Arabidopsis thaliana: one gene and its partner. The protein of the gene in region 1 interacts with the protein of each later gene in a pairwise test. Each region holds a gene or a part of one and is shown on either strand. Other genes may lie near its edges. The genes, in order: NodGS and CNX2.

Region 1 (6,955 bases):
AATCATAAAGTTTGCAAGAAAAAAATTTGGACTTATTAATAAGTTCTCTTCCATAGTCACATGGAGATGGATTTTGTTCGTCCACTTGTTTGAGCATAATAAGCGTACCGTATAAACCTAATCTTTACTTTAATTTCTATACTTATCGTTCATATTTTAAGGAAATTAGCTAGGTAGCATAACTTAATTACACTTTAAACTCCAATTTCTTAAAATTAAATAAATAATATGATGAGATTTACCAAAAGAATGTCATACTAACCTTTTCTTTCATAAAAAAAAACATGTGCTTTAGTTTGCAGATTAAAGGGAGATTAAATATGATTAAATAGGTTAATTAGTCAAAGTAATGAATAAGAAAGATTTGAAAAAAAGGGATCAGGCACCTACCTAGATAACAATAGCCGGACTAAGAACATGGAAAGAACAATGGTTAAAGGGTATTTGCGCTCCTAATACTACAATCATTTTTTTGTTTCCGAGTATTAGTAGTCAAATTCAATTCATAGACAAATGTAAATGATTAAGAACTACTCCGTATTATTGAAAATACTCTGTATATTCTTGAGGCTTTTGAAAGCATGGGACGAAAAAGTAAGAAATACAAATAGTACTCCAGCATGAGCATGCGTCTCGAAATATGAAATTTAGTTTATTAATTTTCTGAACCACATCTTTATGTCAAGTATTTTGCAAATACGACCCTTCATGTGACACAAAGTCCACAATAAAACCAAATGATCCAACAATCATCATAGAGATGCTCAAAGGATTAGTATCGGTGAATGAGTTGCTTATATGCATCCGGATTCTTCGAATAATACTCGACCTCAGCCTGTTACACAAAAAAATTTAAAAAGACAAAAACAATAGATTAGTGCTAATGTACTTTGTTACCACTGAGAATCTAATGGGAAACTAAAAGACTATAGTGTTACCTTACGGACTCCTTTTATGGCAACTAAAAGCTTTTGTCCGAGCAAATCGTGGAGAACTTTGTCTTTGTCCAGAGCTTCAACAGCTTCTGAGAGCGTTTCCGGAAGTCTGTTCAATGTAGCAGCCACATCCGCCGGATTTATATCTGTTCCATCCGAACAACTCAAGATCAAGCTTCATATTAACACTACATATACATGAGAATGAATAACATAAGTTTTTAGTTACCTATTGGAGTAGGAAGTTGAAGATGTCGCCGGAGACCATCAATACCAGCAGCCATTATAACAGCCAAACCAAGGTGAGGATTTGCAGAGCCATCAAAAGACTTTATCTCAAAGTTAGTAACTAAACCATCAGGAGTTCCTGGTGGAGAAGCTGCTCTTAACGCTGCTTCGCGGTTTTCTTTGCCCCAACATTGGAATGCTCCACTCCATGTATTAGGTTGGATTCGGTCGTAGCTGGAAATTTAAGTGACACACACAACTTTTAATAACAATTGAGGAAATTACTCGAAAAGTACGGTTTTCGAGTTACCTGTTTGGGAGTGGAGCTATAATAGCTAAGATTGATGGAAGATGAAATAGAACTCCGGCCATGAACTCTTCTCCAACGGAAGAGATTCCATGAGAAGATGAGTTATTAGATGCCGGGAAGACATTTTCGCCGTTTTTCCAAAGACTTAGATGCACATGTGATCCAGAACCAATGTCACAATAATCATACCTGAAGAAAAAACACATATGTTAAAAATTTGCAGTTACAACGAATAATTTGGTGGGAGAGACTGACATACTTTGGAACAAAGGTTGCGAGCAATCCCTGTTTCCTTGCAACCGATCTTATAACTTCACGTGTGTAGACCAAGTTGTCGGCAGCATGGGATGCAATGGTGTGACCGAGAGATACTTCAAACTGACCTTTCCCGGATTCAGCATGAAACTATGAAAAAATTTCATACATGTCAAGAAGCATGTTGCAGACTGATCATTATGAGGGATTTTTGAATTATTTGTAACCTGTTCAACTTCGATGTTCAAGGACTCGAGTGCGGGTACAATATCATGGAAGATCGGAGATGCAGCATCGAATGAGGATGTGGCACAGTAAGGACCAAAGTCAAAAGGCATATACTCTTCTTTCCCTTCCCTTTTAAAAAATGGACAGAACAAGTGTTAAGATTGTGAAAATGATTGGATTGAACAAAGAAACCGGTATTCAAGAAATATATAGTCGCATACCGCACAACGTTCTTGAGGAGATAAAACTCATTCTCAAAACCAGCGTTCATTACCTAAAAGCCAAGGAAGATTTGAGCTTAAGCAACCAAAAAGCAAATAAAAGTTTTCGTAGAATGGCTATATGGAGATTTCTTACCAAGTCAAATTCATCTTTGAGAACTTTTGCGACCCTTCTTAAGGTCTCTCGTGGACAGTACCCCCATGCTTCACCAGGCTTCAATTGCATATCAGCTAAAACCATGCTCTCTTGCTTCGTCCTAATGATAAAATATGATACGGAAACAATTAAGAAAGAAACATCTGTAAAATTAACTCCAAAGAGAATGAACACGAGTAAAGTACCAAGGTATTGTCTGCTTGGTTGATAGATCTGGAACAAGTCTAATCTCACCCACACCTGTCAATTTAGACTCTTCTGCTGGTCCATCAGTAAATGAAGTCATCCCCATTGATGCAAAGGTCAGACCAACGCCGTTCTTCTTCACACTTCTGTTAAAACGCTGCGCTTGAACAGCCTGAAACAATACAATAAACAGAATTCTAGTTAAGTTTTTGTGCTTCTAAGGAAAAATCGTTGAGGTGGGAAACAGAGGTTTTTTCTTTAGAAGAAACCAAAAAAAAAAAACTCACACGGCATCTTTGTTGTCCAGATGTATCAACCCAAATAATGCGTACAAAAGAACTACTATCTTCTTGAACATCAGGCTCCTTTATCTTCAATTTGGGAGATATTATATTTTGTGGACTAGAAGAATCTGTGTCTATATTAAGCTTATAAAATCCAATAGAATTTCGTGAGAATATGTCTTTAGCTGCATCAATAGCTTCCATGAGTGAGAGATCACCACTGGCACAAGCATCACTCAGAACTAAGAAGATAACCTCACGTGCTTTCTTTGCACCTGCAAAAAACAGCGAGCTATGTTCAAGACTGAAGCAAGACGATTTCAAGTGCCAAAGCTTAGAAACAGGATTGGAACATATATAAGTATGTTACAAACTATAGAAAAGAGGTAGAAACTTGAGCTAACCTAAATAGTAGGTCTCAGGAGATGCATACCCATCAGTGCTGAACATAACCTGCAATAATATCTTATGGTTACTCATGAACAATAACAAAGATAATGCAAGTAAAATAAATTTTACCTTCTTTATTGATGCTAAGTCAAGGAGCTCTTTAACTGAAGAAACCATACCATGGACACTAAGCTTTGGAACCGCCAAGCCGAAATCAAGGTAAACCTTAAGGAACAAGAAAATAAGTTAATGACTAGGCATGATTTTACAGATAATTGAAATGGGATGACGAAAAACCTGAGGATAAACTGAAGACAGAAAGGATGCTTCCTTTGAGAATGGATAAGCTGCATGAAGAAGAACTATACGACACTTTCCAAATCTTTTGTCTTCAAGAAGGGTTCTAAGGTGAAGAGGATTCGACAACCTCAAATCCAAATCCTTGTCACCAAAACTGGCTCAAACAACAAAAGAAAAGGAGAATTTTCATTACTACAAACCTCTGAGCATGAGTTTCTGTTTCTGTGTAAGGTTTGTTTGATAAAAAGATCAGACTTTACTAACATCAATCATATAGTTGATCAAATCTTGCATACCCGGTGTGAATCTGCAAGGGCAAGTCGCGACGCACAGCGACCTCCAAACTAATGGTAAGGATGTAGTCAATCAAGCCCTTGTTTCCTATGCGGACAGGCTTTCCAGCTGCAGCAATATTAGATTTTAAGGTGATCAGACAACAACTATGTTACTTCTTGATAGACCAAGCACAACCATCTTACCTCGCAAGACTTCAACAAGGCCATTCTCAGCAACTTCTTTACTCACATAAGTATCAATATCCAAACCGCTACGATATGCAGCAATAGTTTTCAAAGCAACAATCTCTGGAACAAGCGTGACCGAAGTAGTCAAGGTTAACCAATACTAGTGAGTATAGTCACAATCATTAAGCGTGTATTAAAAAAGCAAAGATAAAAGGATATGAATTTAATCTTTCAACAAAGGTTTTGGTGAAAGAATCTAAATCCCAAACAGGCGGTTCAGTACTCTCAGAACCATAGAAATAACCACCAGGACACTCCTCTTCGAGGATTTGCTCGGCAAGAGTTTCGATACGCAACACTCTACCAACGAATGGAACAAAGTTTCTATGCCATTCAATATCATGTTTCTTGTCTAGCTTTAATCCATCATCAATGAGGAGAGCAGAGATTCGAGCTTCTTTAAAACACTTGGAAGTAAAAGAATCCAAACCCGAGGTTTTACGATGTTCCTCAACCGCTTCTAAAGATACTTCAGTGCCATAAAGTTGAGCAATCTCCCTCAAGTTCCTCTGTTTCATTCATACAACCAAAAACATTCATACCAACTTCACGAGATTCCTAAACAAGTCAACATCTTTTGAGTAACACTCGAAACTTTAGTTAACTAATACTTTTGAGACTAATTAGGAAACTTTAAGCTAACGTTTTCATTAATTAGAATCTGATTCAAACGAAAACTAACTAGAGCAAAAACACTTGGTATCGTCGTGTACCTTGAAGGAGAGAGAATGAGGAGCGAAGGTTAAAGCGTCGCCGGCAGCCTCGGAGAAAGTTCCGATGAACGGAAAAGATGAGTCAAGAGAGACAATGTTGTGTGCGTGAGCATCAACGAGCTCTATCTTCTCTATTGCTTCCTTTAACTCACTAAACTCCATCTCCGTCTCTCTCTGTCTAAAGTCAACAGTTCGATGTTCTTGATTCGTGTTAATCTTCTTACAATCTTCACAGTTTATTACAGGAACGGTTTTAAAGCATAAGTGAAGAAGATCCAATCAAATCGTTGACTTTTCCTTGTCTGATTTGGTCGGTGGCCGATGTCTCTGACCTTTAAACTTCACGACGGCGTTTAGAGGAGAGTGATGAGCACGTGTCCACGTGAAATACATTAGCCTCCACGTGTCCTAACTAGTGTGGATAACTTTCAACTGTGTTCTTGGTTTTTCATTTTCCAAATTCCGGTTCCTTGCCAAGGACAATCTCGTTTTAACAAATTCGAATTCAAAATTAAATTGGAAAAAGCTCCATTTGGTTCTTCCTTCATCAATCCAATCCTTTAAACCGGACAAGAAAAAACTGATTAATGCTAAATTTTTAATTTTGTAAATCCAAATTAAACCGGCATCCAAATCAAAACTAAAACCATTTCATTATATTTTACAAACCGAAGAGAAGCTACACCAAACCGGAGAAGAAGAAAAAAACGAAGGAAAAACAACGGTATCGTCGTCGTCTTCTAGCTCTGCTTTCTACCCAGAAAATTTGCAGTTTCTTTTTCTCCACCTTATCTTTCTACCATTTTTCTTCGATGGCATTGATACAAAATCCTGTTCAAGGAACTACTTCCGCGTACGCCAATGAGATCGCACAACTTGGTTTTTCTCGGTAACATTCTCATATTTCATACAATCATACTGTTTTGAATTTTACGTTTCTTTAATTCTTCAGTTGTGTTTATATTAAATCTATCTTTCTCTGTTTCTCATTCTTGCAGAAGCGTGGTTCAGCAACATATATCTTCCCCTGTTTATTTTCGGTGTATACCAACTATTTCAATAACGCCCACAATGTGTTCGACAAAGGTCCCCAACGAACGTACAGAGAAAATGAATTCTGGTTTGATCTCAACAAGACACCAAGTAGATCCTAAGAAAGAATTGTCTCGGATTCTGAGAACAGATGCTGCTGTGAAGGGCATTGAGAGGAAAGCCAATTCCGAAAAGTACTTAACTTTATGGCCAAAAGCTGTTCTAGAAGCTCTTGACGAAGCTATCAAAGAGAATCGATGGCAGTCTGCTCTCAAGGTACAGCTCTTTAATCCTTCTTCATTCTTACAGATACTTGGACATAGATTCGATAGAATTCACTTTCCTGTTTCTCTACTTTATAGATTTTCAATCTTCTTAGGAAGCAGCATTGGTATGAACCAAGATGCAAAACTTATACAAAGCTGTTTAAAGTGCTTGGGAATTGTAAACAGCCTGATCAAGCCAGCTTGCTTTTCGAAGTTATGTTATCTGAAGGATTGAAACCAACCATTGATGTGTATACCTCTCTTATCTCTGTTTATGGCAAAAGCGAGCTTCTAGACAAGGCGTTTTCTACACTTGAGTATATGAAATCTGTTAGTGACTGCAAGCCAGATGTGTTCACCTTTACTGTTCTCATCAGTTGTTGCTGCAAACTGGGTCGGTTTGATCTGGTTAAAAGTATCGTTCTTGAGATGTCGTATCTTGGAGTTGGATGCAGCACGGTTACTTACAATACTATTATTGATGGGTATGGAAAGGCTGGAATGTTTGAGGAAATGGAAAGTGTTCTGGCTGATATGATCGAGGACGGAGATTCTCTTCCGGATGTTTGTACGCTTAACTCGATCATTGGGTCATATGGAAATGGTCGCAACATGAGGAAGATGGAGAGCTGGTATAGTCGGTTCCAGCTGATGGGGGTGCAACCGGATATCACTACATTTAACATACTGATCCTGTCATTTGGAAAAGCTGGTATGTATAAGAAGATGTGCTCTGTTATGGATTTTATGGAGAAAAGGTTCTTCTCCCTGACGACTGTCACTTACAATATAGTGATTGAGACGTTTGGAAAAGCTGGAAGAATTGAGAAAATGGATGATGTATTCAGGAAAATGAAGTATCAAGGAGTGAAACCAAACTCAATCACTTATTGTTCGCTTGTTAACGCGTATAGCAAAGCAGGTCT
Region 2 (5,247 bases), on another chromosome or scaffold:
GTTAAATATATACTCCAGAAAGTTTCTTTATTAATCTCATCGATTGAAAATGGGAACTTATATATAATCGGAACATGAAATATTAGTTCAATATTCTTTGTACATTTATAAAACCATAAATTTGTGTAGGAAATGAATCCAAACTTTCTTTTTTAGTATTTCATGTATTGAAAAATGATATTTTAGAACAAACTTAGAGAAAATCATTGCTTAAAACTGAGTTTTTTTTTTATATCAGCTTACATATAAATTAAAAAACCATAATCTTTTTAATCAATCAATAATGAATTGTGTTATTATTTTAAAATTTTAATATCAAAATAATGAGAAACAAGAACTTAATTAGGAAGGACAAAACAAGGTTTGCTACAAATGCATTTGCGGGTGAATCCTTTGCAACGACCGTCAGTGAAACCTTCGCTAATGCATACTTGGCGACAATTCCTCCATTTCAGACACATACCCTTCCAGTCCAAGCTCTTTGCTTCACACATTTGTTGTCCTTCAACCATCTCTATATCTATAATATAATACATTATCATTATTCAATAAATAATTGAATAATAATATAATTATAATCATATAAACAATCAATAATTGACTTATTCTTCAATATCATCAAATATTAAATTATTCAAGTAGATGCGTAAAACCCCATGCATTAAATATTAAAATATAAGCGTATATTATATGTTTTAGTAACTTTTTAATATTGTGAGTTTGTGAGAAACTAGATTTGCATACCTGGTGAAGCAAGAAGAATGGTTAAGAAGAAAAGTGTTGGAATTAACTGCATAGAGGTAGTAGAGCTCTTCATTTTATTTCCTACTAACTAGTTAAGCGATATGAATACGTGGGGAGAATTGTTGATATTGAAAATTAGCGTGAGAATGTCGCATTTATAGTAAACATGTGCACAAAGCTTTTTTGGTATATCAACGTATGCATACGATAATGAAGAACAATAGGAATATGTGGAAAAGAATCTGATCTTGACGAAAAATATCTGCAAATACACATACGAGAATATTTTGTTGTTTATATATATCTCTAGTACTGTACTGTACTGGTTAAAGATATATGCTAATGATTTTTTCTTTCTTTAACCACTATGAATAGACAATCTACCATAAGAGAAGAGATTGAATCAACATAGTTAAAGTGGGCCGAGGGGACTGATACAATGAACGTATAGACTATAGAGTGTTAAGAAAATTACAAAGTGGTAGTAATATCATAGATGAATTTAGACTAATGTGAAGCTAGACAGATATGCAAAAAACCATTCCTCCATAAGTTCTTCCAAAAAAAATTCCTTTATAATGATATATTTGTAGTTTAGATTTTGGTGTGTTTTGACTTTTGAGTTTATATCTTTATCCAATAAAACAAAGTTACGTACAAAATTGATCAAAGCCAGTCACACAGCCTAAAATTAACTTTAGATTACATTATCACTAACTTGCTTAGATAGGAAACCATCGTTTTAATCAATCAATCATAAATTTGGTTATCTATAAAGTTTTAACATAATATCAATATACAGAGAAATAAAAAATTTAGTACAAATGTTTGGAGTTTGGTTGTTACATAATTCGCAGATTGTAAAATTTAATAGTTTATTACATTAAACAATGATGTAAGCACAGTTAATAAATTATTATTCTAATGACATATCCGATCCAGATGCAATCTGAATTTCACTCGGACCAGTAAATTTACCAATTGAGGTCGGTTTGATTGCCTATAACCGGTAACCGGCGAGACCGACAGATATCATCAGAAAAGACGAAAGAGTTTCATGTTTTTTTTTTTTTTGTTTAGGCTTTTAGCCAAACTCTCTCTAGTCTCTCTCTCTCTCTCTACTTGAGAGTGCCGTCTCCATTTTCTCAACGTAGTCGTTTATTTTGAACAAAGACTCTCTCCGTTTACCAAAGGTCATCTCTTTTCTTCCTCCTTCTCTCACTTTTGATTATATTTTCTGACTTCCTCCTCCTTTCTCAGAAATTCTCTTTCGATCTTCTCTACAGTGTTGTTAACGATGAGGAGGTGCTTCTCCAAAATTACTGATTGCCACTTGGGTTTCAAGAATTCCAACTTCTTATTGGTAAATTTCCCAACTTTACTAATTCTCACTTCTCTGCTACAATGGGTTTCGATTTCTCCCACTCAAGTTGGTTGCTTTTTCGAATTGATTTATTCCTGTAGCTACTAGTATTTGCTTATATAGTGTAAAGGTTAGGGATTTAAGAGCTGAATGAATTCATTTTGTGTTCTTTTATTTAGAGAATCAATGCTTATTTGGAATTCTTAAACAGGTTGGTTCTGAAGTTGGTTCAGGTTCAGTAACGAGAACCATTACTACTACTACTAGTGAGCGTTTATTTAGCAGTAGTTATGCAGCTCATCAAGTTGATCAGATAAAAGACAATCCTGTCTCTGACATGTTGATTGATAAATTTGGTCGCTTACATACCTACTTGAGGATATCTTTGACTGAGCGGTGTAATCTCCGGTGTCAGTATTGTATGCCGTCTGAAGGTGTGGAACTTACTCCTAAGCCTCAGTTGTTGTCACAGTCTGAGATTGTTAGGTTGGCTGGTCTTTTTGTTTCTGCTGGTGTTAACAAGATTCGGTTGACTGGTGGCGAGCCTACGGTTAGGAAAGATATCGAAGAGATTTGTCTGCAGTTGTCTAGTTTAAAAGGGTTGAAGAATTTGGCTATTACTACCAACGGTATCACTCTTGCGAAAAAACTACCAAGGCTTAAGGAATGCGGACTTGATTCGCTGAATATCAGCTTGGATACTCTGGTTCCAGCAAAGTTTGAGTTTCTGACTAGACGTAAAGGGCATGATAGGGTTATGAAATCGATTGATACTGCTATTGAGCTTGGATACAATCCTGTGAAAGTATGTTTATTAATCCTTCTTCATGTTTTCTGTTTGAATGTAGCAGAACGATATTTGATGTTCAAGAGTTTTTGCAAATCGTTCTTGGTTTTGACAGGTCAATTGTGTTATCATGAGGGGATTGAATGATGATGAGATTTGTGATTTTGTTGAGTTGACACGCGACAAGCCAATCAATGTCCGGTTCATCGAGTTTATGCCATTTGATGGAAATGTTTGGAATGTGAAGAAACTTGTACCTTATGCAGAAGTGATGGATAAAGTGGTAAGGTAGAATTCTCTCAATGTTTAGCCTTTTTTGAGATTACTCAACTTTTCCTTGAGCATTTTCATGATTGGTTTCAGTTGTTATGGTAACAGGTCAAGAGGTTTCCGAGCATAAAACGAATGCAAGATCACCCAACTGAAACAGCTAAGAACTTTACGATCGATGGGCATTGCGGTTCTGTTTCTTTCATCACATCCATGACAGAACACTTCTGTGCTGGCTGCAATAGATTGAGACTTCTTGCAGATGGGAACTTCAAAGTTTGCTTGTTTGGTCCTTCAGAGGTAAAGTACATTTCCAAATTTTTCCATGGCTAAAAGTCAGTAACTGTTGATTCAAGTGGCTGCGAACATGTACAAGTGTGCAATAACTTGAGTACCGGTAAACATGAGTATTCGTGGTTGCTTCTCAATAATGTGACGATCATTTTGTTTCGCCCGATGATTTCTTGTGAACAGGTTAGTCTGAGAGATCCTCTCCGGTCTGGTGCTGATGATGAGGCGCTAAGGGAAATTATAGGCGCTGCTGTAAGTATTTAGTTGCTTCATCTGATTTTACGAACCAGTCAAGAAATCTTTCCTCTGTTTTTCGTTTCTGTATTGACTTAAAATTCACAATGGGTTTCAGGTGAAGAGAAAGAAAGCTGCACACGCTGGAATGCTTGACATTGCTAAAACAGCTAATAGACCAATGATACACATTGGTGGCTAAGCTCCGGTGAACGTAAGTTCTTTAATCCATTGTTATGTAACTCATAAAAATTGGATACTTTGTGTCGATTCAAGGGTTTTGACACTTGATCTCAGTAACAAAGTCTTTGATGCATTGATCCGTTTAGTGTAACTCTGCGTTTTGATTCACGTGACTCATCGCGTCATATTTCTCTTTACAGGTTGGTGAAGTTCCTGGAAAACACTACAAGGAACATTTGAGTTTTATATCTTGTAAGAATCTATCTGCTGCTCCCAACTCTGTGAGACTGTGACAAACTTTTTTGCAAACAAGAACAAGAAGACTGAAGAGTTTCTCAAACTGTTTCTTCTCTGTATACGTAACAGACACTGTACAGGAACTCAGAATTTCCACACGAATCTTTTCAGTCCAATTACTTTTCTTATTTATGGCCAAAAAGATCAACTATAAGCTTTTATTATGTTAAGAATTTTAAAATCTTAAATTTGATAACAACAACAAATTCACTTGCGATATTGATCAAAGCTTATTGTATAATAGAGTTTTGAGATACATGACTTGTACTCTGCTGTTTTATTAGCTTACATAAAAATAGGTATCTTATTAATGGCTTATTCATAACAATATAATGTCTAGTTTTCGGTAGAAAGAAGAGCACAAGGCTTCCTGCAAACACATTTGTTGTTGAAGAATCCTTTGCATCGACCATCAGGGAAACCTTCGCTAATACATACTCGCTTGCAACTCCTCCATTTCAAGCACAACCCCCTGTAGTTTAAGCTTTTCGTTTCGCACAATTGTGGTTGTCCTTCAACAACCATCTTCATACCTATAAGATCATGGCATTTTATTATTCAATAAGAAATCAAATTTATAACCATAAATATAATCAAGAATGACCAAAGCTTTTTGTTTGTTGATAACTTATAACCAACCAATATCTTTTTATTGCTCCTAACTCCTAATATGTGTTTATGTAAATATGTGATTTTCAATATTCTATGGCAAAGTATGAGATAAGTTGTAGTGTTGTTTTTTCATTATCATAATAGTTTGAACTAAATAGTGTATGCATAAAAACAAATGTTAAACTAAACAAGGGAAATAAAGTATAAGTTTATAACGTATAGTTTAGTAGATTTGTTTAGGATTTGTATACCTGGTGCGACAACAAGTATGACTAGGAAGAAGAGTGTAGAGATTAACTGCATAGAGCTCTTCATTTTGATAACTACTTGATCAAAAGAGTTAAGAGAGAATAGAGCTCTTGATATTGGAATTGACTTGTAAGAAATAATGTGAAGAGGTCTGCATTTTATAGTAAACAGAAGTATAAAGCTTAGTTGGTAAAATATCAACATATATTATTTATGA

What was found.
Region 2: the proteins of NodGS (region 1) and CNX2 interact in a two-hybrid assay, tested with the Arabidopsis thaliana proteins (one large-scale study listed by BioGRID).

What each region holds. Positions count from the first base shown.
Region 1 is NC_003074.8:19,705,006-19,711,960, reverse strand, and holds NodGS (nodulin/glutamine synthase-like protein), read right to left. Parts: upstream 5,142-6,955; 5' UTR 4,894-5,141; coding exon 4,732-4,893; intron 4,528-4,731; coding exon 4,178-4,527; intron 4,090-4,177; coding exon 3,974-4,089; intron 3,897-3,973; coding exon 3,791-3,896; intron 3,649-3,790; coding exon 3,492-3,648; intron 3,420-3,491; coding exon 3,324-3,419; intron 3,258-3,323; coding exon 3,209-3,257; intron 3,080-3,208; coding exon 2,808-3,079; intron 2,693-2,807; coding exon 2,520-2,692; intron 2,435-2,519; coding exon 2,314-2,434; intron 2,231-2,313; coding exon 2,178-2,230; intron 2,086-2,177; coding exon 1,956-2,085; intron 1,879-1,955; coding exon 1,733-1,878; intron 1,663-1,732; coding exon 1,474-1,662; intron 1,398-1,473; coding exon 1,165-1,397; intron 1,082-1,164; coding exon 939-1,081; intron 836-938; coding exon 773-835; 3' UTR 501-772; downstream 1-500. Other genes in the region: AT3G53170 (LOW protein: PPR containing protein), read left to right, coding at 5,544-5,620, 5,730-6,039, 6,126-6,955.
Region 2 is NC_003071.7:13,583,279-13,588,525, reverse strand, and holds CNX2 (cofactor of nitrate reductase and xanthine dehydrogenase 2), read left to right. Parts: upstream 1-1,822; 5' UTR 1,823-2,041; coding exon 2,042-2,107; intron 2,108-2,318; coding exon 2,319-2,912; intron 2,913-3,009; coding exon 3,010-3,177; intron 3,178-3,272; coding exon 3,273-3,464; coding exon of another isoform or gene 3,465-3,497; exon of another isoform or gene 3,498-3,638; coding exon 3,639-3,707; intron 3,708-3,807; coding exon 3,808-3,891; 3' UTR 3,892-3,903; intron 3,904-4,072; 3' UTR 4,073-4,505; downstream 4,506-5,247. Other genes in the region: LCR75 (low-molecular-weight cysteine-rich 75), read right to left, coding at 339-520, 745-817; LCR76 (low-molecular-weight cysteine-rich 76), read right to left, coding at 4,506-4,702, 5,033-5,096. UniProt on the Arabidopsis thaliana protein: Catalyzes the cyclization of GTP to (8S)-3',8-cyclo-7,8-dihydroguanosine 5'-triphosphate.